4 linked regions of the Rhinolophus ferrumequinum genome follow. The protein of the gene in region 2 interacts with the protein of the main gene of each other region in a pairwise test. Links are inferred from orthologs where the notes say so. Each region holds a gene or a part of one and is shown on either strand. Other genes may lie near its edges.

The links.
Region 1: the proteins of PDE6D (region 2) and ARL3 interact in binary tests that used the Homo sapiens proteins (3 or more experiments, as listed by UniProt). The link is inferred for Rhinolophus ferrumequinum from reciprocal best matches to the Homo sapiens genes PDE6D and ARL3.
Region 3: the proteins of PDE6D (region 2) and ARL15 interact in binary tests that used the Homo sapiens proteins (3 or more experiments, as listed by UniProt). The link is inferred for Rhinolophus ferrumequinum from reciprocal best matches to the Homo sapiens genes PDE6D and ARL15.
Region 4: the proteins of PDE6D (region 2) and RND1 interact in a two-hybrid assay, tested with the Homo sapiens proteins (2 studies listed by BioGRID). The link is inferred for Rhinolophus ferrumequinum from reciprocal best matches to the Homo sapiens genes PDE6D and RND1.

The regions. Positions count from the first base shown.
Region 1 is NC_046299.1:22,368,102-22,375,267, reverse strand, and holds the start of ARL3 (ADP-ribosylation factor-like protein 3), read right to left. Parts: upstream 3,009-7,166; 5' UTR 2,960-3,008; coding exon 2,957-2,959; intron 1-2,956. UniProt on the Homo sapiens protein: Small GTP-binding protein which cycles between an inactive GDP-bound and an active GTP-bound form, and the rate of cycling is regulated by guanine nucleotide exchange factors (GEF) and GTPase-activating proteins (GAP).
Region 2 is NC_046291.1:6,749,985-6,757,212, reverse strand, and holds the start of PDE6D (retinal rod rhodopsin-sensitive cGMP 3',5'-cyclic phosphodiesterase subunit delta), read right to left. Parts: upstream 3,025-7,228; 5' UTR 2,815-3,024; coding exon 2,765-2,814; intron 1-2,764. UniProt on the Homo sapiens protein: Promotes the release of prenylated target proteins from cellular membranes. Modulates the activity of prenylated or palmitoylated Ras family members by regulating their subcellular location.
Region 3 is NC_046290.1:33,675,319-33,682,266, forward strand, and holds the start of ARL15 (ADP-ribosylation factor-like protein 15), read right to left. Parts: upstream 3,016-6,948; 5' UTR 2,922-3,015; coding exon 2,874-2,921; intron 1-2,873.
Region 4 is NC_046293.1:49,975,277-49,982,402, forward strand, and holds the start of RND1 (rho-related GTP-binding protein Rho6), read right to left. Parts: upstream 3,017-7,126; 5' UTR 2,912-3,016; coding exon 2,792-2,911; intron 2,011-2,791; coding exon 1,923-2,010; intron 1-1,922. UniProt on the Homo sapiens protein: Lacks intrinsic GTPase activity. Has a low affinity for GDP, and constitutively binds GTP. Controls rearrangements of the actin cytoskeleton. Induces the Rac-dependent neuritic process formation in part by disruption of the cortical actin filaments.

The sequences.
Region 1 (7,166 bases), on a different chromosome or scaffold from region 2:
CATTCAAAGAAACTGGTGTGGTACAGGGGAAAAGAGGGATGTGTTGGCATATGGGAAAACTACATGTGGCTGTGAGAAGCAGCTAAAATTTAAACATCAAAATTAGTAAACCAACTGTCAAGTATATGCACTCTCTATAACTAGTTTAAATGGAACCGACTTCAATTTACTTATACCTCTTTAAACTAACAAAAAATTGGTGCTGCCCAGTGAGATGTTATTTTCAGGAACTCCTCTAGTTTTGATAAAGGGAACATCACCCAAACTTTGTCTTCTTTCTCCTCATCTCTATACTAAATAAATACAATGTTTCCTGAGGAACAAAATATGGGCATCTCTTCAGAAAGCATGGGTTCCACTTCACTAGAGTCCTAATGAAAAAAACATTGCAGGCTTTAAAGTTTCATAGACTTGCAGTGGACTTCTCTATATGCATAACACCAGGCACAGTTAGATATAGAAAAATGGAAACAATACTTATATCTTAAGAAAAACGCTATGAAAATTAAATGTGTAAAGCAGGACACATAGTAGGCACTCAAGACAGTAGTTGTGTGTTTTTTGTTTTTTTACTTTTCACTGAACATTTTCTGATCAGAAAGCATCACCTTGAGAACAATATTCAAATGTTGAACATGCTTGATAACTACCGCTAGGTTTATATGTAGAAAGTACTCCATAAGTAATTCGTGAATGAAGGCGTGATATATTAAATAACAATGATTAGTTATGTACTGAAATTATTGTCATCTTAGTATTTCACCAACGACTTGGTATTATAAGGCAGGGGTAAAACTGCTGATGCTAAATATTCAGAGAAACCAATGGGTTTTGTTGCAGTATTACGAACTAAAAAAAAAAGAAAAATTATGTCACAGCTGAGGGCTTAAAAAAACACACAAAACCCCCCCCACAAAAACCTGGGACTTACTCTTCAGTTGTACAGTTCTCAGGGGGGCTTATGGGATACCAGATGTAACACACTTAATCATACCACTGGCTATTTAAATTCCATGTTCTACTTTCTGTTCTAAGAATAGCTCACACTTTTGAAGATAGAAAAAAAAAATGTATTTTGGAAACCAGATAAAGAATCCAGAATAATTTGTCCTAATTTCTTATTGTTCATTTTAGGAAAAAAGAAAAACAAAATCTGTCTTGATCACTTAACATAACAGTTGTATACAACAGTGTTGTGTACATTGTCAATTTGTTGTATACAGTGTCAATTTGCACCTGGAAACATAAGCAGTATTTAAATTATTGTGGTCTGTAATTATAAATTAAACAATCATGAAATTATACTCGTACAGTCCACTTAATTGATAAACAAACTGGGAAAAGTTAGGTTACTCTCATGCATTTCTCATTTATGATGACATCTAATTCTGTTGGTTTGGCATGTCTTTTTCATTTCAATTGTAGTTATTTTCTGAGTAAATATTTATATTTATACTCATTTTTGTGGAGAAAAACAGCCTTTAAATGGACAGCTCATGTATACACGATTAATAAAAAGAAAACATGTAAAAACTTGTTTAGCCTGAGGTTAATAAAACTGCAATGTAGTAAGAGTGAAATGTGAATGTGATTGGCAACTTCCGATCAAATAATTCTACTTCTTTAACAATCTGACAATGTAAAATCAATTGAGGTTTTTTTTTTTTGTCCTATCGAAATTTACTCATTGGATAATCTGACCAAAGGTACACATAGTTTTTCCTTGTGGACATCTAGCTTTTTCTTACTTCGTAAATCATTAGAAGTGGTTCAGCATTTCTAAAAGTCAAAAAGGAACTGGGGTTAGGGTAGGGAAGTAACTAATCTTGAGTGCTTGCTCTTTACAGTTGGTAAGCCAACAAACCTGCTCTAAATGCCTCAAAATCAATTTTTCTTCGCTTGCTCTAAAACTCCTCAATTCCGATTTTTTAGCGGCAACTATAAAAGTTTACTGATAGATTCCAGTAATACTCAATTCCATTTTAACACCCTCCAACTAACTTCACAGAAATCAACAAAGAACAAACCTGCCACACATCATAATTTAGAGTTTGGGAAAGCTTTCATTAGGTCTGACAGGGAAAAGGCTTGCCTCAAATTGATGGCCACTCTCCAGTTTCAATTTCCCAATTCCTTTTTAGTTTGGAGACCTTAAGCTTAGATTGGTTCTGGTGTAGTCATAGGCAAAAGAGGGCTGCAACAGGTTCTGAAGGAAATACTAGGGATCGGGCAGCAAATTTGCTTCCATCAACATGGATAATTGAACGGAAGATTGGTCATCACCATCCCCCAGACCTTGCAGAACCCTTAGCAAATAAATAATTCCGGACTGCAGAAGCACACCCGCCACGCAGACACCGAGGCGGCGTAAAATCTACCAGGCATCTCTTCCAAGAGGCGCATGTTTTATGTGTCCTGGGATTTACAACCCTCCCTCCAGAGACCCGCACAACGAGGAAGAGGAGCGCTAGGCTACCATCTCCCGTGGTACCGCCAGGGCGACCGCAAACGCAGTAGCGCTGGCCTTGCTTCCCGCTTCTGGCCCGCCCCTGGCGGACCCCACTTTCCTGCGGCGTAGGGAGGCGGATTCCCTTGGCAGATATAAGCTTGCGTGCGGAAGCTGATCTTCGCAGCCCCTCAGATCCGCCCTCATCCCAGCTCCCCGAGTAATGATGGAGCCCCGACTCCGAATGGGGACAGCCACGCACCCTTCCAGCCCTTTCCCCTGTCTAGGGATCCGTTGCAAGCCCACCTGCCTCCCCAGGCCCAGGTCTCCCTCCAGGGCCCACACCTTCCGGGCTCCCTGCCGTCCCCCGAAACCAATCCTGGACCCAGACAGCAGGCTGAGCGCCGTCCCATTCCCTCCTTGGCTTTAAGCGCAGTGCCCCGCCCTGGGCCTGGGGACGGGAGGGGGGTGACCGATCGGCTCCGGAGGGGCCCAGGCCCCTACACTCACCATCCTCCCGCCGAGTCCCACCTCCTCCTCCTTCTTCTCCTCCTCCTCCTCCTCCTCCTCCTCCTCCTCTTGCCTCCCCCGTTACCAGGGGCAACTACTGCGGCACCGCCCCCAACGTCTCTCGCACGCACAGCGGAGGATCAAAGCAGCAGGACGGGGCGGGGTCCAGCTCCGCTTTCCCTTAAGTGCGCAAGCGCACCAAAGTGCCCGCCCATTGCGCAGGCGGGCTGCTTGAGAAGCAGGAGGTGGCTGCGGGCTTGTAGAGACCCGGGAATGGTGACAATTCGCCCACGTGGCCTGTGGAGGCTACCAGGCCTGTGATTGGTCAGGAGGGTGTGGGGGCGGTTCCTGGGCGGAGTTCCGCGGTGCCCAGGCCAGGCTTCCAACGCGGGCTTCATCTGGTGGCATTTGTCTCAGTTCATTTCTCCCGGGACGAGGTAAGTTGTCTTGGGAGGTCGCCAGCCACATCTACCTCCAGTCCTTACGTCCTGGGACGGAGCTTGTGTTTCTATCCTGACTGCCCTGGCGGGGCTGCAGCGCGGGCTGGGCTTACTCTTGCCGAAGCCACGTGGCGAGAGGAGTGGCCTGGGACTGCCCATGGACCTCTCCCTTAGGCCCCAGCGCCTTCGTCTGTCTTTCGTAGGGATGGTGCGTTAAGGGCTGCGCACTCATCTCCACACACCTGTGTTAGTGCGGGATGGAGGAGTCCCAGTGGTGGGAGGCTGCCTGTGGTAGCGCAAGAAGCTGCCGGGGGACTGGCCTTGAGTTCTTAGTGAGCTGACGGCGCGGGTGAATGGCATTTTGGAATGGCCAGGTTTTGCTAAGTTACGTTTGACCGAGAGGTTCGCCTTCTGCGGTCCTGAAGGAGGCAAAAAATAGGCCTACACTTCCAGGCAAGTAAGAGCGAGAGGGATCCGGGGTGAGTTGGGAGGTGTTACCTCCCACTGCTTCCCCATGCAGAGTACAGGAAGAGTTATGGCTTAGGAGCCAGGTCGTATTCTAGACTCTGGAAACACAAGAGCTGAGAAAATCTAGCTTCGTGGAAACTACATCCTTTCTAGTGAAATGCTTTTCCCACAAGATTCCATTTCATTCTCACAACCCTGGAAATTGGTTGTTTTAAGTAATATAGAGTGGGGACTTGAACCCAGTTCTGTTGATTCTTGAGGAAGTGCTTTTAAACACTATTGTAACGTTCAGGTAAGAGGAACAGAGTGGTCTGTATTTGCAATGGAAACCCAAAACTTTTTTAAGAGCTGATACAATGTGGGTGTAGATGGTACACCTGGAACTTTGCACATGTGTGTATGAGTCTTACCTATCTCACTGGGTTCTTGTGAGGATTATATGAATTATTATGTCAAGTTCATAGAACAATACCTGGCACATAGGAAGTGCTATATAGGGTTTAGCTGTTAACAGCCATAACGTAGTGTTGGGTCAACGATGGACTGCATATATGTTGGTGGTCCATGAGATTATAATGACGCTAAAAAATTCCTATCGCCTAGTGATGTAGCTGTCCTAATGTCATAGCACAACTCATTACTCACATATTGTGGTGACCCCGGGGTAAACAAACCCACTGTGCTGCCAGTCCTATAAAAGTATAGCACATACAGTTATGCACGGTACGTAATACTTGATAATAATAAACCACTATGTTACTGGTTTCTGTATTTGCTATGCAATGCTTTTTATTGTTATTTTAGAGTATACTCTTTCTACTTACAAAAAAAGTTTGCTGTAAAACAGTATACGAAGTTACACCAGCAGTAGCCTCATCATACATCGTGTGTTTACCATGATTGCATCATATTTTCTTGGACTTAGTGTAACCTCATGTTGTTTTGTATAGTAACATGCTGTATAGGATGTTACATGTCGCCTAGGAGCATAGGCGGTGCCGTATAGCCTAGGTGTGTGGCAGGCTGTACCCTCTAGGTTTGTATATGTGTAAGTGCTGTCTATGACATTCGCACAATGATGACATTGCCCAATGATGCATCTCTCAGAACATATCCCTGTCATCAGTCGACACATGACTGCATTAATAGTTTCATCTAGGTTTTTTGGCTTTGCCCCTCTTCCTATCAGCAGATTTTCCAGTCTACTTAAGATAATTGGAATGAACGCATATTTTTCTCTGAATGGTCCTTAGCTATTTATGCATTCAACTAAAGTATTTTTTTTAAACATCTGCTACCTGTGTGCCTGCTTTAGATCCTTGGAGAGAGAACTCAGTTAAGAACCTTGACTAAGGAGATGCAAGATGAATGGTTCATTCAGAGCATCACTCCAACAATCTACCCATCTCTAGCCTGTTGGTTCTTTTGTGAAAAAGGCAAGGCAGACTTCCCTTTCTAAGTTGTTGCCTTGGGGTCACATGAGTGTACGTAAGCATATACCTAGACCTGCTTGTTTAATTATTAGTCTCAATCTCCAACTTGCCCTAAGCAGCCTTGACATTAACCTTCCCCATCCAGTGGTCTTTGTGTCTGACCTGAGTCTTTGATGGCTTTGATCTTCCTCAGATGTGAGTACCAGCAATAATGTTTCGTTTTTTTCCCTACTTGGGGATACAAACAGGGACATTTTGGGTACTTCCCCTCCCTTGCAAGAGGTTACTCCAGAGGGGATTTGGAAATCTGTTCTCTGGCTCTGATACTTTGCCAGAGAAAATCAGGTCTCTCTGAAGGGATGAGCATTACTTCGGGAGATGTAGTAGGTTATTTTATTTTTTTCCCTTCCTCTTCTCCTTCCCTTTCTCTTCCTCCTCTTCTGACTTCTCCTCCTCCTCCTCCTCCTCCTCTCTTTCTCTCTCTTTCTCTCTTGACAAGTATAACCTGTAGTAGATAGCGGACCTATCTCGATGACCCTAAGCCTTGTGACCTTGGGAAAGTGAGACCCTAGCTATTGTCACATCTTTGGATGGATAAACAGGACTGGATCTGTGTGTGCCACCGATGCTCACCATGCTGGCTCAGTCAATGTGAATCTAGGCATTAGTTTCCTCTTCTATGAACTGAGATCTTTGATCCCTAATGTCATTGAGCTGCGACATTCTCTAATCTTAGAAGAAAAGGGAGTTATCAGTCAATCACTGTTTGATCTCTACCTCCCCCCTTGTTCTCAGTCGTGGAACCATATTCTTTCATTAGTGGGGCCACCCTGGACATGATAGTGACTTTTTTAGGGAGTACTAGATGTGGTTCATGTGGGAAGAAGGAGAGAAATTGGAAGAAAATGTAGAGACCAGATAGGATGCGGTATAGGAGAAGGAGATAATTTGCAGCTTTGTGAAAGAAGGCCTGCTCTTACTTCTGTGACCAAGGCAGGTTCTGAGTTTGATTTAAAAGAGGTGACATCCTTGATGCCATTTGAACACAAGGATAAATTGGAATGCATTTCAGTTAGGCAGTAAGTGTCTTTAGAGGGCAGATGGAAGATACAGCATGAACCTTACAGCCTGTCAGGTAAGGCATACTTTACACAAGTAACTGGAAATAACAAGGAAGTGACAATTACAAAAGCCCAACCTGCTTCCAAGGAGGACAGGATGCTGTGGACATGTGGAACAGAAGGGCTGAATTTGCATGGAAGGAGCCATGGAATTGTGCCCATTGCCAGGCAGTGGTGTGGGGGGAGATGTACCAGACATACATTTTTTTTTTTTTTTTTGCCTTTTACATAAGACAGGGATTAGGCAGTTCCTATTCTGACCTTAGTAATGAAGGCAAAGGTTCTTGCATAATTTAGCAAATGATTACCCCTTCATGGTAGAAGAGCTTCCCTTGTGAAAGGCAGGGCTTTCCAATGTTGGGTCAAGAGTGAAGAGAGATGTCTGAGAAGTGAGTGTGTGTGTGTGCGCGCGCGCGTGCGTGCATGCGTGTGTGCCTGTGTATTGAGGGGGGAGACATAGCATTTTGCTCTGCTGGGTTGTCTCCCGGGACCGCAAGTGTGGGGCTCTGTAAGCCAAGGCAGTATGTGATCGGGCCGACTCCTTTTAGGTACATTTGGAGTCAGGGAAAGTGAATGCTTTCCCCTTTCCCACTCCTGGATCAGTTAAGACTGGGTGAAATGCCTTTGGTCTTTGAACCAGCCTGCAGGAGGCCAAGCCAGCCTGTCCCTGGAATGCAGAGCCCAGAGCTTTCCCATGGGCTCCGTGGTGCTCAAGCTGTGCCTGCGAACTTGTCATTGTCTACGTAAT
Region 2 (7,228 bases):
CAAATTGGAATGTGATTAATTCCTAAAAAAAAAGATAAACACCAGGTATACATCAATGCTTATTAACTGAATCATTTCTTCAAAGAGGCAAAACAGAAGTATCATAGTTTCTCAGTAAGAAAACAGAATACTAGCATAAAGGCATTGGTTATAATCTCAGAAAAATAAGTGGTATTACAGTAATATTAACACTATTGCTAGTGTGAATAATATTAGTAATTGTTTATAAAACAAATAAGTAACATTATTACTTACTTACTATGTGCCAGGCACTGTACTAAGCATTTTACATGCAGTCTCATTGAATCCTAGTAACAGCTCTCTGAGGAAATGCTGTGGATACTGAGTTTGAGTGCTCTGCCTAGGGTCACAAAACCCAATGAGATAGGTACTATTTTTATCCCCATTTACAGATGAGGAAATTGAGGCAGTGGCTAAAGAGGTTGCTAAGGGACACAGAACTAGGAGTGTGGAACTGGGATTCCAATGCAGGCAGCACACCTCTGCAGGCCAGTACAGCTCTCAACCACTCTCTAGAGATATACGGATCCAGGGAAACACAAATTAAAACAAGATATCATTTGTTGTCCAAATTGGCCAATATTAAAAAGACCAACATAGTCAATGTGCAAAATGAGTACTGTCAACCCTGTTGCTAGGAGGATATAACAGCAATTTCTTTTTCTAGTAAAAACTCTTTTTACAGGAACAGATACTCTAAAAGAAAGTCCAGAAAACAATTTATCCAACAAAGGTGGACAACAGTCAGGCAGTTTCTTAATAAACTATTAATTTTATTTTTCCTGAAGGTAGTAGCAAAACCTAGAATTCCCTCTCTCTTTTCTCTTAATTCTCAAATGCCAATAACGGCTACCAGAGGATGAGCATTCCACTGCTTCCATGCTAACGTATTTTCATACGGCTGCTTTCCTTGTGATTTAATTGGCCCAGGTCAAACTTTTCCTGAAAGTCTGTTTCTTGACCCACTAATGTCATCACTGAATTAGTTAATTTATCTTCCCTTCTACTGTTTTCCACATTTGTCCCTTAGCCTCTTTCTCAACAGGTTCAAGAACCAAGACTGAAGGAGAGAAGCTCAAACTTTCCCTTTCTGTTTTGTTCAAAAGGCATTAAAAAGACCCCTCCTTGTTTTCAGCAATACGTTATTTCCAATCCAAAAAGTAATCTCTCAATTCTCCAGTCTCTGGTTTACAGTCTACAGCATACATGTTAAGTAACAATATAAATTACTCAGGGGAGAAACAAAATCCATGCCATAGCTTTTCTAACATTCAGCCGTCCCATTCTACTTATAGGCACCATTATGAAGAGAAACTTGGAAAGGCACGTGGAGCTGTAAAAGAGGCCACTGCGTAAAAGTACTGCAAGTTTCTCATGAATGGCAGTATGCAAAGGTGATAATGCCTTTCAATTTTTAAAACAAGCACAGCAGGTCAAGTTCCATTTGAAAACTTTCATTTGTATATCCACAATGTCCTGTAACTTTTTTGCATTTGTGTGCCAAAACTGACTACCAATTTGGTTTCTGATTGTGACAAAACAATTAAAATTGGCAGGGGTGAAATGGGCACTGGGAAAACACACAGGCAGCTCAGAAAACAGTGCTTTCCTAAACCTCCAGGGGAGGGGCCCTAAAGTAGTGACTGCCTTTTCATTGAGAGAGGAATTTAAGAATGTTCCATATTGTATACATAGGAGGTAAGAAGAGGTCAGCAGGAAAATGCCAAATTGGAATGTACTAGATTGCATTTTTTTCATCCACATTAACTGGTTACAAATGAACATTCCGTTAAAACACGAAGCTTTCTCACTACAATTAAGGGGAGAAGGTTGCACAAGCGGCATCACAATAGGCCCGAGGCAATGATTTCTGTCTATATCCTACGTATCTTACCGTGTCCCCAACGCAATCAAAACATTGCTGGACAGCTCCACCATATCTACACGTTAACCGCACAAATGCGAGCGAGCAAAGACACCTTTGCCAAGAATCTCAGTGGAAAATCAAAACACCTCAAGGCACCTCACGCACAAGTTTAGGGTCCTCATTTCGCTGGAAAGAAAACTGAGAAGTTGAGGGAGAAGCAGCCACCGTCCGTCCGATGCCTCAAAAGGCCAAGACGGAGTTAAGACGAGGGCGATCTGAGACGTCTCTCCTCACCACCCCGCCTCTGCTCCAGCCCTGGAAGGAGCCACAAGTGAGGAAGAGAAGTTGTGGAAACAAGACGGGGTGGGGTGGGATGGGGGAACCCGAGAGAGTTGAACACAAACGTTTGCATTTGTCCCACACAAGGTCACTCGTTCCAAGTCACTTTTCCCTGCTCTCTCCGGGGGCTTCCCGCCAAGGGGGTTGCTGGGCTTCGAGCCCAGCCCACCGCGCCCCCTCGGCCCTTTCCTGAGGGCCGCAGCCCCTGTCCTGCCTCAAGGTGCCGACCGGAGCTGGGACCCAAGCTCGCCTCCCCGACACCCGTTGCCGACGTCCAGCACTTCTCCCAGCCCAATTCCGGGGCTCCTCCGCCTACACCCCCCAAGGCTCCAGGCAACGTCCCCTTCCTCCCTCAGGACGCCCCTTGCCCCGCCTCCAGCGCCGGGTCCCGTCGGGGGCCCGGGACGCCGTTCTTTCCTCCCTCCCGCAGCCTCCCTTCGAGTGCCCACCTGGCGCGGCCCCCATCCCCAGCCCGTCTCCACTGCAAGCGGCCGCCTCCCAAGTCCTCCCGGCCCCGCCCCGCTCCCGGGCGGATACAGTTTGAAGCCCCTCAGGATCTCCCTGGCACGCTCGTCCTTGGCTGACATGATGCGGCGGCCGCCGCCCGCGGCTCTCCCACGCTGGCCCGGCGGAGCCTCGCAGACGGTGCCCCGGAGCCGAGGACTGAGCCGTAGCCCGGCCTGAAGACCTCGGGAGAGCAGCGGCAGCGGCCAGACCCGGACCGGCCTCTCCCTCCCCTCAGCTCCCGCTCCAGATCCCTTCTCCTTCTCCCTAGCCTCGGAGCGCCCGCCCCGAAGCCAATAGAAAGCCTGCCTCGGCGATTGGCATCCTGTTAAGCCAATAAAAGCACTCAGCGGCTTCGCGGGGGGGACGAAGAGCGTCAATGGGAAGGGCCCTTCCCGGGAAGTCCCGTAGGACAAATTTTTCATTCGGTGTTGTTGCCTAGACTTTGCCCCAGCGGAGGGTTGGCTTCAGCTCTTCAGAGGCTCGAGGGACCGCTGGGTACACTAGGGCTCCGAGATGACGGCCGGTTGCAATGAGCGATGTGGCAGAGACTACATTTCCCAGCATTCCATGGGCGATCGCGGGAACCACAGATCCCAGAGCGCAACAGAGTCTCGAGGACTACAAATCCCAGCATTCCTGGCATCATAGTCCTCTAACTTCGACTCCAGTGTGCCGCGCAGTGTGCGCAAATTCATAAACCCTCCCTCAGGTTTGGTGGTTTCTGAATCTCGAGAGTTGAAACCAGGCGTGAAGACCCTCTTCACTCTCAAAGAAGATGACAGCCTACAGAGAGATAACTTCTGTTTACATGGAACTCAGAAATCTCCTGCAAATCATGGTAAGGCTCCAAAACACAAACAAAACTGATTAAACCATGAAAGATAATATAACAAAATGACTCCTTCAAATCATGCTTGTTTGTTGGTCTGGGGCGCCTTTTACGTATTTTGCGGGGGTTTCCTGTTGTGCTGCGTTGGGCAGGGAGAGAAAGATATACCCAGAATATCAATACAGGAAGGGACTTGAGAGAATTTGCTAATCCAACCCTTGTTGTTTTACATATGAGGAAATTGAGGCCCAAAGAGGCGAAGAGATTGTCCACGGGTCACAGTAAGTTGGGGCAGAGTTAGAATTCAGCCCTAAGTCTCCTGACCCGCAATCTGGGCTCTTTGCACACTAAGCTGGCGATATTTTTAGCAGCATGGCTATGTGATTATTATTCTCCTTGGTGAAATTTCCCCATCAGGTTGAAACACCCAGAGGTTAGGTAAGCATTTATTTGGTGGTTTCCTGCAAGTGTGATGTTTGTTTATCTTCAGTGTGGGTAGGACTTGATGTTTTGATTCGTTCTTTGTTGCTAAGGTGACATTAAATGAGATTTCAGGAACTAGGTACAATTGTAGTGTAAGCTAACGTTTCCTTAGAGATCTCTTATTTCTTTTCCTAGGCTTTCCTTCCTTTTCCTGTCCCCCTTTCACCCATCTGGGCATCCACCCAATTTTTCCTTCCATGTAATTCAACAAACAGCTTTTCAGCTTTCCTTATTTGCCAGGCTCTCTGTCAGTAAAAGGTGAAAGACATGGTCACTGCCACCAGGAAGATAACCATCTAGTTAGGGAAATGAGGAGACTCCACTGAAATTCAAGATGGACTGTGATAAATGGCAAAAAGGAAAAGACATCAGAATGCTACAGAGACTCTGATGGGGAGATTTATTCCACCCGGCATAACTTGATAGAAGAGGTGGCATTTGATCTTGAAGGATGGGTAGGATTTTTTTTTTCTCTGTTAAAAATTTTTATCTTTAGATTTTTTTTTTGTTAATAAGGTATAACATACAGTAAGGGCACAATTTTTGCATATATGTACACCTGTGTCACCACCCCCCAAATCAAGATATGAACATTTCCAGCACCCTTTGTGCCCCTTCCTGATTAGCTCTGCATCCTCCTATCTCGATAACCACTCTTCTGACTTCTTTTACCACAGAACAGTTTTGTCTGTTCTTGAATTTCATGTAATGTAATCATACAGTATGTACGGTATGAATCTGGCTTTTTTCATTCGTCAATACTTTTGTGAGATTTATCCGTGTTGTATATAACAGTAGCTTGGTTTTTTTTCTTTAATTGCTTACTATTCCATTGAATGTATGTAATACTATGTATCTGTTCTGTTGATGGGCATTTAGGTTATCAGTTACCACTTTTTGGCTATAATTAACAAAGCTGCAATGAGCATGCTTATGTTTCTTTCTGTGGACTTGTGCACTCATTTCTAGGAGAGGAGTTGCTGGCTTGTGTGGTGGTCATATGATCAGCAATAGTAGATATTTCCAGTTTTCCAAGTGTGTCTACCAATTTTCACCTTCACCAGCAGTGTAACAGAGTTCTAATTGACTTTTATCTTTGTCAGTACCAGGTGTTGTTTGTCAGTCTTTTAATTTTAGCCATTTTGGTGAAATGTGGCCTCTCATTATGAATAGTTTTTATTTACATTGTCCTTGATGTTGAGCTCCTTTCCATATGTGTATTGCCTATTTGGATGTCCTCTTTTGTGAATTACTTGTTCAAGTCTTTTGTTTACTTTATATTGGGCTGTTTTCTTAATAATTTGTGGTTCTTTATACATAGTCTAGATATGGAGTTCTTTGTTTGATATATGCTTGCAAATATCTTTTCCAAGTCTATGGCTTTCCTTTTCACTCTCCTTACTGTTTGGTGTCTTTTGATACACAGAAATTCCTAATTTTAGTGCAACAGTTCAGTGTTTTTTTTTATGATTAGTGCTTTTTGCATAGAGTTTAATAAATCTGCGTATAGGGTTCGTAGGATTTTAACAGGGAAATATGAGGGAAGAGATTTGCAAAAAAGACAGAGCAAGCTTGAGGCCCTGCTATGAGTCGGGGAGGGTGTAAACTGTGCTGCGCATGGGAAGGCCTGGAGTTTGGGCTGTAAAAAAGAATGAGGCAAGACAAAGCTGGGAGGGTAAGTGGAAGGCATATGCGAAGGGCTTCAGCTGCAGCCTTGGAGGCTGGACATTGTTCTGGAGGAAGTGGAGGCACTGCTGGAATATTTATGAACTCACACAGAACTTAGTTGTCTTCCTTCCACCACCAAATTTGCACCTCCTCTTCTGCAGCCCTGTTCACTTAATACCACCTCCAGACAGTTCTGCCCTCCCCAGCCAGAATCCTGGGTGATATTCTCCTTCCCTTTCTCTGCTTTCAACTGGTCACCGTGTCTGGTAGCTTCTACGGTATAAATTTGTCCAATAACTTCCCTTCTTTTACACTACCTTTGTTCAAGATCTCACAATCTCTTATCTGGAATATATCAAGTCAAGTTTGATATATTCAAGTCAAGTTTCCCTTGACTTGAAGTTTCAAATCCCTTGAAGTTTCCCTGCTCCAGTTTTCTCCACATCCAATCCATTCCTATAGCAGCTAGTATGATCATTCTAAAATGGCAATTATTCATACCTCTCCATACAGCTTAAAAACCCTAAATGGCTCCCCAGTGTCCTTAAGATAAAATAAAAACTCCTTTACATGGCTTAGATCCATTGTGATTTGCTTGCTCATTCTTCCAGGCTCAACTCAAGCCCCATCCCCAGAAGCCTGTCTTAAATCACCTCTGCCTAGGGCACAGTCCAGAGCACTAGGTGCCTGTAGCAACCGACTGTCATAGCCACACAGGCCTGTCTCTCCCAGGGGGTTGTGAGCGCTCTTTGGTAGGAACTTTGCAGTATTTAGGTATTCACTGGGTATAATGCCAGCCCTGAGGTTTCTAAGAAGCTGAATGACCTGACTCCAGGTCTGTATCCCTCATTTCTCTCCCCTGAACCCCGGTTCCAGCCTTTCTGGTTTTCTTTTCTGCATCAGTATATGCTGCACAGTGCAAGCCTCTGACTATGGTTACTACCCCCAGTTTTTCCCCCTTTGCCTGAAAGATGCCTGTTTTTTCTTCCCCAGCATACTCTGCTTTCCAAAATGTTGTCTCTCATAGCACTTAATACATTGAAGTTTTTTCAGGGCAAGAACCTTGTCTTATCTTCATATAACCTTCTAGAACATAATAGATGCTAACGAAATTTTTGAATAAATGAATGGGTTGATGTTAGGCTCCTTTGCATCTGTCCTGTCTGATTTCTGCACTCTAAAGCACAAAAGGCTTTAAGACTTGAAAGTATGTGGTGTATACTGTACTTTAAAGGAACCAGCTTAAGTGTTCAGTTACGTAACATTCCTTAGCCATCTTCCAGGGGAGTTGGTAAGTCCCAAAAGCAGTCACGAATGTCATTTTGGTCACAGAGGCATTGTTGGCTTAACCAATCGCTTTCTATTTTAAAACATTTTTTTTTTTTCTGAATAGAGGTCAAGAACATGGTCTTTGGCTTCAGATAGCCTGGATTCCAAATTGGACTTTGCCACTTTTGGATTTTTAGGCTTAGTTAATTCACCCGAAAAATGGAAATAATATTACAGGCCATAGA
Region 3 (6,948 bases), on a different chromosome or scaffold from region 2:
CAGCAAATTATCATTATCTCCCTGAACTGAAATCAATAAAAACCCTACCTTAAATATTAAGGCACTATCCCTGTCCCTCAACTTATCTGTCACCTCTCATTGAGAATATTTCTTTTCCATTAGGAAATCAACAGCAAGTTCTAAAATCAGGGCTTCATCATTTGTTTTAATGCCACAATCCTATTAAAAGCTGTTAAAAATAGCACCTCTACCTTTCTCTCATTTCTCTTCCTTTCTATTCTCCTCCAAATAACAAAGATTAAGTGATGACATCCAGTCCAAAGAACAATGGACAATACATACACACACAAAGCTTCCTCTTCCAGCTTCCAACAACAACAACTAAGTCTAACACCTGTTAAAAGGAAAAATGAAGGAAAGATGGCACACCATTATTCTTATCAAGTTCATGGACAGGGTGCTTACTCTAGTCCACAAGCTCAGCAAAATCTGAGAGTCAAACTCAGAATGAAAGGAACATTTTTTTTTTTCTGGAAGGCAAGTAAAAATAACTTAGGAATTGATTTGTTTTAAAAATAAGACCCCAAATACAGTCAACAAAAGTGACTTTCATTTTTCAGAAACAGGTTTTTAATAAACACCATATAAAGATTATGTATAAGAAAACAAGTCAATCTGACAGGCAAGAAGGAAGGAATGATGTGTGGCATACCATTTTCTCTGCGAGTAGATAAGCAAAAAGTAAACACAAAAGACAACCTCAAGAGGTTTTGTGTGTGTGTTTTTTCAGTCCAGTTTCAGTAAAAAACTGAACTTAATGTTCAAGGATTTCAAATCTTGTCACAGGGGATACTTGGCACACACAAAAACTGATTTATTTCCTTTAAGATTTTTTTTCCTCACCTCAAAAGACTAGTCAATGATTTTTATGGGGCTGTTTCACTGCACATGTGAATTATTTAAGAGTATAGTTAAAGTGACCAAATAATGATTTTTTTTATACCAACGCAATAGGGCGACAGGGAGGGATAGATATAAAAACAAAAAGGCCATGTCAAATTTGAGGCCCACTGATTTTGACACAAAACTGTTAGTAAATTAACAAAGAAATTTATCTGCTTTTAAGGTAGCCTAAAGTCCCACACACATTCACCCACCCACCCTTAGACTCTCCATCTAGAAATTAATCTGAGTTTTCAATTTTTTTTCTCACTAAATGCTTTAGTGGGTTTGGCACCTCAAAGACAGCTTTATAATGCAATTTGTAAATTTAAAACTCATTCAGTAAATAAAGAAAATACTGTAATAAAATGATCAGAACTACCTGACTCCTTTTTAGGCACTACTTAAGTATCCAAAATTAGTTTTCAATAGTACAGGTAATGCTACCCTTTCCTACTTGGCAATTATCCTCAACAAACTTTGGCTTTAATATGGGCTACTGTAAGAAAATCCATAGTACTGTATTTATAAGACAAGCTACAAAATAATCAGTTATTTAATTTAGAAAATAATCTTTGAAAAATGTTTGGTAACCCTCTTAACCTACAAAGCACTCTGCATTTTAAAACACACAATCAGATAATCCCTTAACTGGCTCCAGGTGTGGGTGGATAATGTCCCTTTATCACCAAAGATAGAGGAAGTTACTGACATCAGCAAATGAACAACAAAACAATTTGAACTCAGAATTTTTTACTCCGCTCCATTCACAAGGTCATGTATTAACTGCAATCAGCACCCTTCCCCACACAATCATCAAACCTTGAAGCTTTAGGAGAAACATTTCCTTCATGTAAAAAGCCCAAATACAAGATAACATGACAAACTACTCCTTGTCCAGCGTCTCTTGATCATGAAAGCATTCAATCTTTCTTAATACAGCGTTAAGTGTAATTCCTAGAAGGCACTGGAAAATCTCTGCCAGGCCAATCTACAGTCGAAAACCGCCTGAATGTGTCGGGCAAGATGACAGGAGGGTAATGTTTTGAACCATCTTTAATATGTATGGCAATAGCGGTTCCGGCTAACAAGGTAAACCTGGTCATTGCATAGGATCGAAAGGAACCAATGTCAAATCAGGATCCCCTTGAACACAAACATGCAGCTCTGGGGGAATATATACTTTCTGCAAGAATATATTCTTTCTGGAACAATACAAGGTGCTTGCATAATTACACACACACACGTCTATTTTTAAAATAATGTTCAGTCCCAACATTGTGCTGACACTTTTTCCATCTAAACTTCTCAGCACAAGCCTGGCCTAAACATGCAACTAACTGGTATCCAATGCATGCACATGGTAAACGAGGCATGCAACCACGACCGTAACGGTGGGGCAATACCTGCCCCTACCCAGTCCTGTTCTGGCCAGGCTGCGATGCAGTTTAGTCCCGTGTACTTTATGGTAATGTGCTTTTAAAACCTCGCCGCGACCGAGGTCATAGCTTTAGAGATCTAATAACAACCAAATGACCGGGGCTGCCGGGCACTTAGTGAGCCATTCTGGTTATGGCTCTTTAATAGTACCTGGAGTTCTGCTAAAGGGAGAGCGGAAAACTCCTGCTTCCCCAGAAAGAAAGTGCTTTGCGGGGAGCACAGGGGGAAGCAAAGAAGTCGATCGCGGGCAGGGGACGCCCGGCCGCCGCGGCCCCATCTCTCCCGCAGCCCCAGCCAGCCCCTCGCCCCGCAGGGAGGCTGATCCGGCTTGCACCTTTACCTGTCAGCTCTACCACCCCTTCCGCCCGCCCCTCCGAATCCCCCGCACAGTTCTAGAGCCGGCTGCGGGAGAAAGAACCCCAAGGCATCCTATCCCAAAGAAAGAAAGCAAAAAGGCTGTTCCTCCAGGCGGGGGACAGTAGGCACATCGGGGTCCGAGAGGCGACACGCCACCCCCTCCCCACACCTACCAGATAATCCATGTACAGAAACGCCTCAGTTATCTGGAGATCAGTCATCCGGCAGCCTAAAGCATCCGGAACGGCTCCGAACCCGGAAAAAAAAGCAGCGTCTCTGGCTGCGAGCGAGCAGTCCCTGAAAAAGCCAGCAACGACGAATATAGCCGAGAGCAGCCGAGTAGCCGAAGATTACACAAGGGGAGCGGCGATTGGCCGGGAGGGCGGGCAGAAGAAAAGGAGAGCGCTTATTGGCTGTGGCGCCTATAAAATGCAGGCCACTGCGGGTGGCAGGAGAGAAGCGCGGGAGCGTCGAGGGCCCTGGTTCCTGTGAAGAGGGCGGAGGGGCGGGAGCTGGGGCGGCGCAGGCGGAAGAGCGAGCAGGGAAGAGCGGAAAATCGGCGGGTGCCGCTGCCTCCGGAGTTCTGTGCTTCCATAGTGTCCTAACTGGGTAGAGCGGAGCAGAGCTGCTCCAGTGCTGGAGAGCGTTAATGTCCCCTCCCACTCCCCACCCCCGGGAGGAAGCTAGAGCCGAAACGCCGGAGGAGTGGTAACCACTGACACTTAGTGTCCCTCTTCGGAGCTATTTCCTGAAGGTTCTGCAGCCTCGAGACGGCCCCACGGGGACCCTCGAAGTGTGTAGGACAGTATGCTGAACTGGCAAGCCTGTGACTCGGGGACGGCCCCTCCCCACCTTCAATTAGATGTGAAACTGAGAAGGCGGACAGCTCCAGCCTGATGTCCCTGGGGTGACAGAGAAGCCCCCGACACGGCCAGAGGTAATCCAGGAGGCTACCTCTAATCAGATTGCCCCTGCAGAATTCGCTCTCCACCACGTGAAAGGCAAAGAAAACCAGCTGGGGAACTTGGTAGAGTTGATTGTAGACCTCCAACACTTGGGAAGAAGAAACTGGTCAGTTAATTGCATGTTTTGAGTCCCAATTACACTGAGCACAAATCATCGGCTCTGAAGAAAATGAGCAATAGAATGAGAAGCTCTCTGAAAAGACCCAAGTTATAAAGTATTTGTGACCCGTTGTCATTGTAAGAGGTAAAAATATCTATGAGCAGGTGCACCTGAGACCTGGTAAAAAAACAAAACAAAAAAAAACTGGGAAATCGGCAGAGATTCCACTATTAAGTTTGGAGCATTAAGTTTGGGGAGGAGGAAAGCTGGATAAGAACACTCAAGGCTCGCTTATTTTATTTATTTATTTATTTATTTATTTATTTATTTATTTATTTATTTATTTATGACAGAGGCTATGAATAACCAATTCAACAACAACAACAATGCCAGCCATATCTATGGTATCAGGCTCAGGTGACTGACGTGCCCCCCCACAGGTTAAGGAGGATGAGGGATTGCTCTCACATATTATTGGGGCTTCCATACAATAACGTTTCAAGAGTGAAACTTGAACTTAAATCTTTCTGAAGCGACTACCTAACTGGTATAAAAGTTGTTTTAGGAGTTGGATTTTTATTTTCCCTCAACTTGGCAGCTTTCTCTTTTGTATCCTCAGGAATGAATTTTTATACAATAAGCTTACCTGGGGCCACCAAAACCGTTCTATTAGATAACAGTGGAATTCACTCTAAATATGTACAAACCAGGAACAGAAGGGAGTGTGGCTGTTCAGTGGGAGCTCCAGGTGGTGAGCCATGAGGTTTTGGGTATCCTATCTCATCTTGCAGCTGAGAAATGAGAATTCCTATGGCTAGAGGGTTTTTTGAAGGAACTTATTAGTACAGAGCTTGATTTTGCTCATCTAATTTACAGACAAGGGATGTGTATAAACATTTCTAAAGAAATTTCAATGAGTTTTTGCCTATGCAGAAGCTAACTAGACTCAATTGCATTATGTCATTAGATCCAATTTTGATTTTTCTTAGCATTCTAGGTCAAACACGTGTAGGTTTAGAAGAGATTTTGACCTGGATTCTGGAGGTGAAGAACTTCCATAAACCAATAGCACAATTGCTTGAAACTAATTGCAGAAGTTAAAATCCTCTCAAACTTGCTAGCAAAAATAATTCAAATAGACAAGGAAACTTGTTTTTGTTTGTTTGTTTGCCTTCTTTCCATGCATAAGCATATTGCAAATAAGATAGAGCTTGAATTAGCAAAGAGACACTTTTTGGCCCATTTTCTTAGTGATAAATGATGTCTTCACGACTGCCAAGTCAGACTCCTCAGAGGCCTGTCAGTTTCTATGCAGGGGAAGAAAATCACCCAGGAGCAGTTGGCTCTGCCCTTCCTTTAAAAGCTAACCTTAGAGAAAGTCCTGAACAGAAGGTCATTAGGCTAAACATGGTCACTCTGCCTTTAGGAATTAGTAAATGGGTCCAAAGCAGAGAGATGGAAAAGTTCCAAAGGCTGCACCATAGTACCCTCCCTGTTCCACACCATTTGCACATTCGTTATAACTGGCACCAAGGAAAACCTTGTGTTTACTGTAATATAATAAAAGAATCATGTATTGCCTTTTGGAAAAGAGTCCTTAGGAAGGAAAACACACACACACACACACACACACACACACACCCCCCAAAACCTGAAGCTTCAGAACTCCCTAAGGAGCACATTCTTCTAATTAGATGTTAATCTTCTGGGATGTTAATATGTCCACTCTTGTGCAGAAGAGGCCAACTTCTAGATTTTGCTGGTATAAATAGATAATACACCACGCATTACATGAAGCTGAAGTCATAAAGTTGGTAGCAATAGCAGTAATCCTCCCAATTTGTGCTTTTAAGAAGAGAGTGTTGAGAGGTGAGAATGCATTCATTCAACCTATCCCACTATATGCCAAGTAACAGACTGCAGTCTTGAATAAACATGATCTCATTAATGTAGTCCGGCCTTTGCTCTCTTCCAGATGCATAAGAAAACATGTATAAACTCATGAGGTAATTGCATTACTATACAAGTTGAGGATAGAGGCCCTCACTGTCGCTTGTCAAAAGCAAGGAGAAATTCTTTCGCCAGTCTATACTCTACAATTCCATAAACAACACTGGAGGAAATTTTTTGTAAAAGTGTTTCTTGTAGGAAACAAAAACAGAAATGCATTTTTGCAACTTGGTCTCCCAAATTCTACCATCCAGAAAAACCAACATGTTAGTGACTATTTCCATTTACTCCTTTTTTGTTGTTCATTTGATACATCATAAATTTGGGAAGAATACTCTCTCTGCTAGTTTTGTATCATGCATGCTGAATATATAAAGTTCACCATATCATGAAAGTCTTCATAAATGTTTAAATGGCTATATAAAGCTCTATTGTATAAATGTGCTATGTTAACAAATCCTGTTATATATTACTGTTATAAATACTGCCGTGAATGGTTGCTTATTAAATTGTTCACATCTCAGTATTCTAGAGAAAATGTCTAGAAATGGAATTACTGGTACAAAGGGTACAATACTTTTAATACTCATTTTGTACTAGTTTATACTCATTTCCCCACCCTGGCCCCAGAGTGCTTATCTTGCCTCATTCTTGCCTTGACTGAATATATTATTCCTTAATTGCTAAGGGATGGAATCTTTCATCAGAGTAACTTTTAAACCATGGACAATGGTTTCAGAAAAAGTGGAGGTGTCAACACACTGAAATCTGCACAGGTCATCAGGTACTTTGTTTGCTCACTTACTGCTCCAATAACCCCTGTGACCTTAAAATTCTCTTCTGAGCCCTTTGCAGGGCCTTGACCTCCCAACATCTGATTTACCCCAGTCCCCTTCCCTATTTCCTAAACCTAAACAAAGTACCACTGTATCTTATAAGATGAACCTCACCAGAGCAGAGTGACCACACATGAAGCTACTAACAGAACTTGGTTCATAAACGGAAGAGATCAGAATGTGATTGGGAGAGCAAGGACTTAACCTACAAAGATAACTCACCTCTTCCAAAATGGATTTACTGGGTCTTGGAATACTAAAGCCAAGATAAGGCATTTAAAATGAATCACCACTGAGAGTGACAAATAATTATACCAGGAAAATATAACTAGACCTCACAAGCAACGACTTGTTCAAGCACCAAATATCAAGAAGCTGTGCAAATCCCTCTCAATAT
Region 4 (7,126 bases), on a different chromosome or scaffold from region 2:
AAGGAACAGTAGCAGATTTGGAACCCAGACAATCCGTGCTCAGAATAGCAAGCAGCCCCTCTCCCTGCACCACAATCGCCATGGAAACTGGGGGGAATCCAAGTGGGGAGGGGGTTGGTTGTTTAAAAAAGAGTAAAGGGGAGTTGGGATAGCTGCCTGCTCCTTCAGCAATCCACCCCATCCCCTCTCTGAGGTGGGGTCTTATCACCGCAGCACTGAAAAAAGGGAGCACTGCAGCACTGGGAAGGGGGAGGGGAGGAGGCCTCCATTCTGGCTCTAAGCAACACCAGCGAGTAAATAACAGGAGCAGGTTCAACCCTGGCCCGTGTTGGAAAGCCCCATCCCCATTGGGCTGCCACTTCCTCCTTCCTTCTGGGTACCTCATTTGAAAGAGGGAGTTTGAGGATGACTGATAGCCTGCATCCTTTTGGAAACTAGGGGGTGGGAATGCAACACAAGAAACAGAGACCACCTTGCTGAGTTTCCATTATCTGGATTGGGATTGAAAGGCTGCATTCTGACTATGGGAGGAGGGTAGAAGCAGCAGGAAGAGGGTGGGGGGAGTGGCACTTTGGGGCGGAGGTAGTGAGAAGAGATGAGCTGCAGTAAGATTCTGGGAAGACTGAAAGGTGGGCAAGGTACAGCAGATGCCAAGCCATACATCCTGAAGCCAAGTGCATTCCAGGCGGATCCAGCCAGCACAGCACAGACCGGGAACCCAGAACCCTGCCTCCCAACCCCCGGAACTGCAGCAGAGGAAAACATAGCGGGTCCGGCAATTTTTGTTTTGCTTTGTTTGGGGAAGGGGGAGCGAGGGGAAGTCATCTTCTATTTACCCATCCCCTACCCCTAATCTTTTCAGACCTCAAAATTGGATCATGGGAACAACAGCTCTTTGGAGGAGCAGGACAGCATATTTATTGTGTGTAACAGGAAACCCTTAGTGATTTATAGTTCCTCTTTAAATTCAGCCTGAATATGCATTTTTAGAGAGGAGTGGATTTTCTTTTCTTTCTCCCATTCCTTGCTTTTAGTCCTTAATTACGACTCTGAGCCCAGTTATTAAGAAAGGATTGGGGTGAAGAGATAATGGAAAGGGATCAGAATCAAAGCAAAGGATAGCCTAGTGCTGAGGGTTTAGGGTTGAGAGGCTGGAAAAACATTGCTTCTTACATTCCAGAAAGACAGGGCGTCTTCTACCTCAGCCCAGTACAAGGAAAATGGTCAAAGCCAACACCCCTCCTCCGGCTACTATCTATAACGTGACTCTGCTCCATATGAAGCCATCTCCCCCACCCTCCAAAACATCGATGATGCATCACTTCAGCCCTGAGCCGCAGCGGTATGACGAGTGGAGCTGAGTGGAGCTGAGCTGCGGCAGGAGGACAGCAGTGGCCCGAGGTGGAATGCAGGGGACAAAACTGAGTTAGGAGCAGTATTTCCCCAAAAGCAGGCTTGTCTCCCTGCCTCAGTCACAACTGCCTCCAGCTACACTGCCTCCTGCCTCTTACTTGGTTTTGCTCGGGGGCAGTAAAGCCTGTGTGTGTGTGTGTGTGTGTGTGTGTGTGTGTGTGTGTGGTGGCAGAGGCGCAGGGAGTGGAAAAAAAGAAGCCTTGTCTGACCGCCCCCGAGTAGTATTCAGGGGTCCATTCACCTCATCATCCAGCCCTCTGAAGAATGGAGCTAGACCCAGAGAAGTGAGTGGCTTCTGGGGTTAATCCACTCTGCATCCCTGGACCAGCCAACCAAGTGGACCCGGTCCCTCTCCCTGCACCCAACTGAGGAATCTTCATGTCCCCTTCTTTCAGTTTGTGGCAAGTACCATACTGCTCCCCATTAAAGAAGAAAACAATTTCTAAAAGACAGCAGCTGCAGCAGACCAGTGGAGGTGGGAAGGGGACATTTGGGGCCAGCTGTCTTACCTGAGGTGTCCCAGAGACTGAGCTCCACTCTCTGTTCCTCTGTCTCCAAGCAGGCTGTGTAATTTTCAAACACGGTGGGCACATATGTCTGTGAAAAGACAGAAACTATTCGCACCTGGGCCCTTCCTGCCCCTGTAACCCTCTGGTTGGTACTGGCTACAGAAGAAGCCATTCACCCTAGTGAGATGCTGAAGTGGCCAGAGGAGGGGATGCCTGGGGCAGGAGGGACCACATGGGACAGGAGGGAGGGGAGTGTAGAGGCACAGGCAATTTGCTCCATCAAAGTAAGAAATGTGATGACTTCCAGCAGGGACAATTCCCCCCCCCCCCCATTTTAGATGGTTAGGGAGAGAAAGTGGGAGAGGTGGGGGAGAGAGAGAGGGATTCCTCTCATCCCCAGATTTGTCTGTCTCCCAATTTCTGAGCCACAAGCCCATTCTAGCTCTTTATCTTCTCCCCACAAGCCACCAGCAGAAGAGCAGAAAAGAGCAGCAGGAGCCTGCCTGGGACCGTGCCCACAGAACCTTTGAGGTTGGGGTGAATGGACGGGCAGGTATTGCGTCAAGAAACCCCAGATTCTCAAATGCCTCCAGTTCCCTCTGCGGAGAGCAGACTCCAGGATGAAGGTAGGTAGGAGGGAATTTGATCGGGGCCTATGGGTGAAGAGGTAAGGAGGAGCCAGCGGAGCGGCAGAAGTGGAACAGGTCTCAGGGGAAGCTAAGACAGGGCGGTCCTCCAGCCAAAAAGCGGTTGAGGATGGGGTGGGGTGGAGAGAGATAGCTCCCCGGGGCAGATGAGAATGTACCCCCGGGGCAGGGGGCAGACAGGCAGGCAAGAATAGCTGGCCAGGGGGCGGACGGGCAGCTCACCTCGGGATAGCAGTCCTTCGCTAACACCTGTAACATCGCTGTCTTCCCACACTGCACGTCTCCCACCAGAACGAGCTTACATCTGGCCACCACTGGCTGCGGAGCCCGTCTTTCCTTCATGGTTGCAGCCTCCGGGGTACTTGGACTTGGGTTCAGAGGGGAGAGGGTTGCGTCAGGTGCGTCTCAACACACAAACCCAGGCGAATTCCCTGCCTCGCTCCAACTGAACCGGAGGCCGGCACAGCCCCTTTATATCCTCCTGGATGAGCCAATCACAAGAGGAGGCGGACTCTGTCAGGGCCAATCCCTGAGATGGGATCCCCTCCAGCAGCCAATGGGAAGAGGATCTGAGTCAGCGCCCTCTTCCTCCCTTCCCTTTCTCTTAAAGCTGCACCGTGGCTTCCTCTGAAAGGGGATTCCCACGCTGTTTTGCATTTGATATTAGGGAGGGAAGAAGGGACTTGAAGCAAAATTTAATGGTCTTGAGTGTCCACCAATTAGTGTCAAAATAATAAACTACCCATGAACGCACAAAGTGAGGTCAAGCTGGAGTTGTCCTAGAGAGCAGGACCTGCCAAAACTATAGACAGGTGGCACCCCAAGGTGGGGGCAGAGATCTCTGACTTCTTTATTCCCTCTAATCGCCATCCAAACCAATTCCCACTATGACTTCCCCTCCCAGAAGCTTCTGCTGTGCCCCTTTTAATTCCCAAGTCTCTTCCTCAGGAAACACCTTCACCAAAATAATTAAATTAAATTAAAATTAATTAATTAAAAAGCCCTCTCGTGTCAGCTGGAAAAACCCCACACAGTCCCTAACCCAGAGATGGGCAGAGAGAAAGGAACAAGGGAGTCTGGCAAGTGGGGATGGGAGGGAAGAGAACAAAGCAAACAAAGTCCCTGTCTGTTTGGCAAGACAACCTCTCACCTTATGCCTGGCAGGAGCTGCTTAGGGGTGTTTGTTCTGCTGCCTGGGTTCAGCTTCCTGGATGAATCAGGCACAGGTCTAGTTCCAGGTGACACCTCCTGATGCCAACAAACTGCATGTGTCACCTGATTAAAGTCCAGACTAGAACACTGGCCCTGGGACTTTGGGATTAGAAAGCTGGAGGGCAACCTAAGGTTGAGATGAGCTGTGTAACTGCCTGCCAGCCCTGCCCCTCAGAGCCCTTGCATCTTACGGCACCAATCCACTAGACAGAACCATGGGGTGTACACAGCTCGAATAACAAACTGCTTTTTCAGGAACCAAGTATCCCAAATAAGGCCTCCTGGCGATCAGTGATTGAAGTAAAACTGACATTGGGCAAAAGTGAGAACACTCCAGAACTCATCTTTAGGTTCCTTCACCTTGGTAAGCCCAGCGCCTCTGGAGTATGCCCTGGGTCTTGTTCCATCTGAGCGTACTCCTAACTCACTGTCATTGCCGCCCCACCCAGGGATATTTTCCCTGTTATAAAGGATGTTTAAAAGCCTTCCCCAGACCCAAAGGGACAGATCTCTAAGGGTGATATTTTCAATGCCCACTATAGACAGGAGAATGAAGGGTATTTTGAGAATGTTTCCTAGCCAGTATGTCTCCTATCAAATCCTGTGGCATCCATGTCCACAGTCCATGTTCGTCTGAGAGTTCTGGGGTGAAGGCCTGCACTGTCCTCTACCCAGATCCTCAGCCCCCCTGCCAGGAATCAGGAATCAGCTAAGGGAGCCTCCAGGGTAAAAAGAAAATTATCCAGGTGCTACCATCAGCTGGTTACCCTCCTCTGTCAGGCTCTCTGGAAGTCTCTTCCCCCCACCTTCCTCCAGGCCTCAGATGATGTTCTGTCTATAAAATTTGTCCTCTTCTTGCCCCTTTTCAGCGGCCTGACAGCCTCTCAGAGCTGCCCATAAGTATGGTTTGGGAGAGTTCCAGGAACAGCTAACATCCTAGACTGCCTCAATCTGGAGTCCTTTCCCTCAGCCTGACCTTTTTGTCCTGTTCCCACTCTCAGTCTCCTATGGAGTCAGTTCTGGAGGCACCAGTGGGGTTCCCATCCATCCTCTAACCCTTTACTGGTTTCTCTCCAATGGCAGCCCCAAAAGCTTTAGCTCTCTGTCCCCCATGTCCTCTACCAGCCTCCCCCTACACACATGGCCTCCATCAGTCACTCCCCCCCACAAAAAAAAATTCAATTTAAGTGAAAACTGATCTTGCTACACAAACAGCTTCCTCTAGCCATTCCTGAGCTCCTCTAATATAGAAATTCTGGGAGCTGGTGCTAGCACTGGTTCTTCCCTGGGTGGCTGCATTTCAGGGTAGGGCAGCCAAAAACCTGAGCTATGAGACAGAGCAGCCCCCATCATGACTGATTCTCAAGATGTGTCTCCGAAGATATTTTGAGGGTCACATGTTTATAAGTTGTGGTGGAAAAAGTGTTATGGGTGTGTGTTAGATCAGAAGGCAGTGTGGCAACATGAAGACAATGGAGCCAAAGGTCAGCAGGTCTAGGTGTTGGACCCAGCTCTGCCTTTAACAAGCTGTGTGTATTTGGTAAGTCACTTCCCTCTCTGGGCCCATTTCCTTAAATGTAATGCAAAGGGGCCTGCCCAGTGGCTCAGGCGGTTGGAGCTCCATGCTCCTAACTCCGAAGGCTGCCGGTTCGATTCCCACATGGGCCAGTGGGCTCTCAACCACAAGGTTGCCAGTTCAATTCCTCGAGTCCCGCAAGGGATGGTGGGCTGAGCCCCCTGCAACTAGCAACAGCAACTGGACCTGGAGCTGAGCTGCGCCCTCCACAACTAAGACTGAAAGGACAACAACTTGAAGCTGAAGGGCACCCTCCACAACTAAGATTGAAAGGACAACAACTTGACTTGGAAAAAAGTCCTGGAAGTACACACTGTTCCCCAATAAAGTCCTGTTCCCCTTCCCCAATAAAATCTTTAAAAAAAAATGTAATGCAAGCGATTTGGACTAGAGCAGGGGTTTTTAGCCTTTATTTTTTAGCAGTTAGACTCCTCCCAAGTTTGTTTAAACCTCTTCCAAGTGTCTTCATTTAAAAATCCATAGCTAGCGTAATAAATTTACAAGACGGCTCTTTCTCATCAAAACCAGAAGAGTTTAAGACAAGGTTATACTTGAAAACGTTAGCTTAAGGCAAAAGAAGCCAGTCAGAAAAGACCACATATTGTATGATTCCATTTGTATGAAATGTCCAGAATAGGCAAATCCAAAGAAACAGAAAATAGATTAGGCGTTGCCTAGGGCTGCAGGGGTTGAGGGGAATGGAGAGTGAGTAACTGATAACGGGTATGAGGTTTCTTTTGGGGGTGATGAAAATATTCTAAATTTGATTGTGATAATGGTTGTAAAATTCCAAGAATATACTAAAAACCACTAAAATGTACAGTTTAAATTGGTGAATTGTATGGTATGTGAATAAAGTTGTTATTTTAAAAAATAAGGTTACAATTCCAAGTCTTCTTTAAAGTGTCTCCTTTAACTTGTTTTTTAAAAAGTGTTTTGTGTGTGTGAGTATGGAAATGTGCAAGCATTTAAAAAGGTAAAAAGAATAATACAATTAACCCCTCTGTACCTGTCATCCAACTTCAACCATTATCAACATAATCTTGCTTCATCTATATCCCAACCCACTTCTCCCCCTACACTTTCTGTACTGGATGATGTTAGACATAATATCATTTAATTCATAGATATTTCAGTACTCATCTCTAAAAGAAAAGGATTCTTTGTTAACATAACCACGATACCATTATTACAACTAAAAATAAATAACAATATCACCATGTACCCAGTCAGGGTTAAAAAATTCTTCAATTGTGTCATACACTGGTTTATTCAAATCAGAATCTAAACAAGGTCCACACATTGAATTTGGTTGGCATGGCTCTTAAGTGTTTTTATAGGCTCTACCTTCCTCCCCTTTGTTTCCTTGCAATTTATTTGTTGGAGAAAACAGGCTGTTTATTGTATAGTATCTTCCATATTCCGGGATTTTGCTGATTGCATCTCCATGGTGTTATTTACATGTAATAAACTCCTTTACAAATTAAATCTTATGCAGAATCTCAAAACACTCACATAAAAAGATGCAAAACAAGACTGCTATGGTTGAATCAGAATGGGAATTTGGAAGGGGGCTCACCCAAACCTCCCCCAACCCCTGGGGTACCTCCAAGGAACACACTCCAGGGAATACAGTTTAAAAACCACTAGCCTGGATAGCGTAAGTGTGTGTGTGTGTGTACCACATGTTCAAAGACCAGGGCTGTCTTATCTCTTTTTGGCTCTGATTACTCTGATAAATTCCTAATCTGGGACAGTGACATAATACA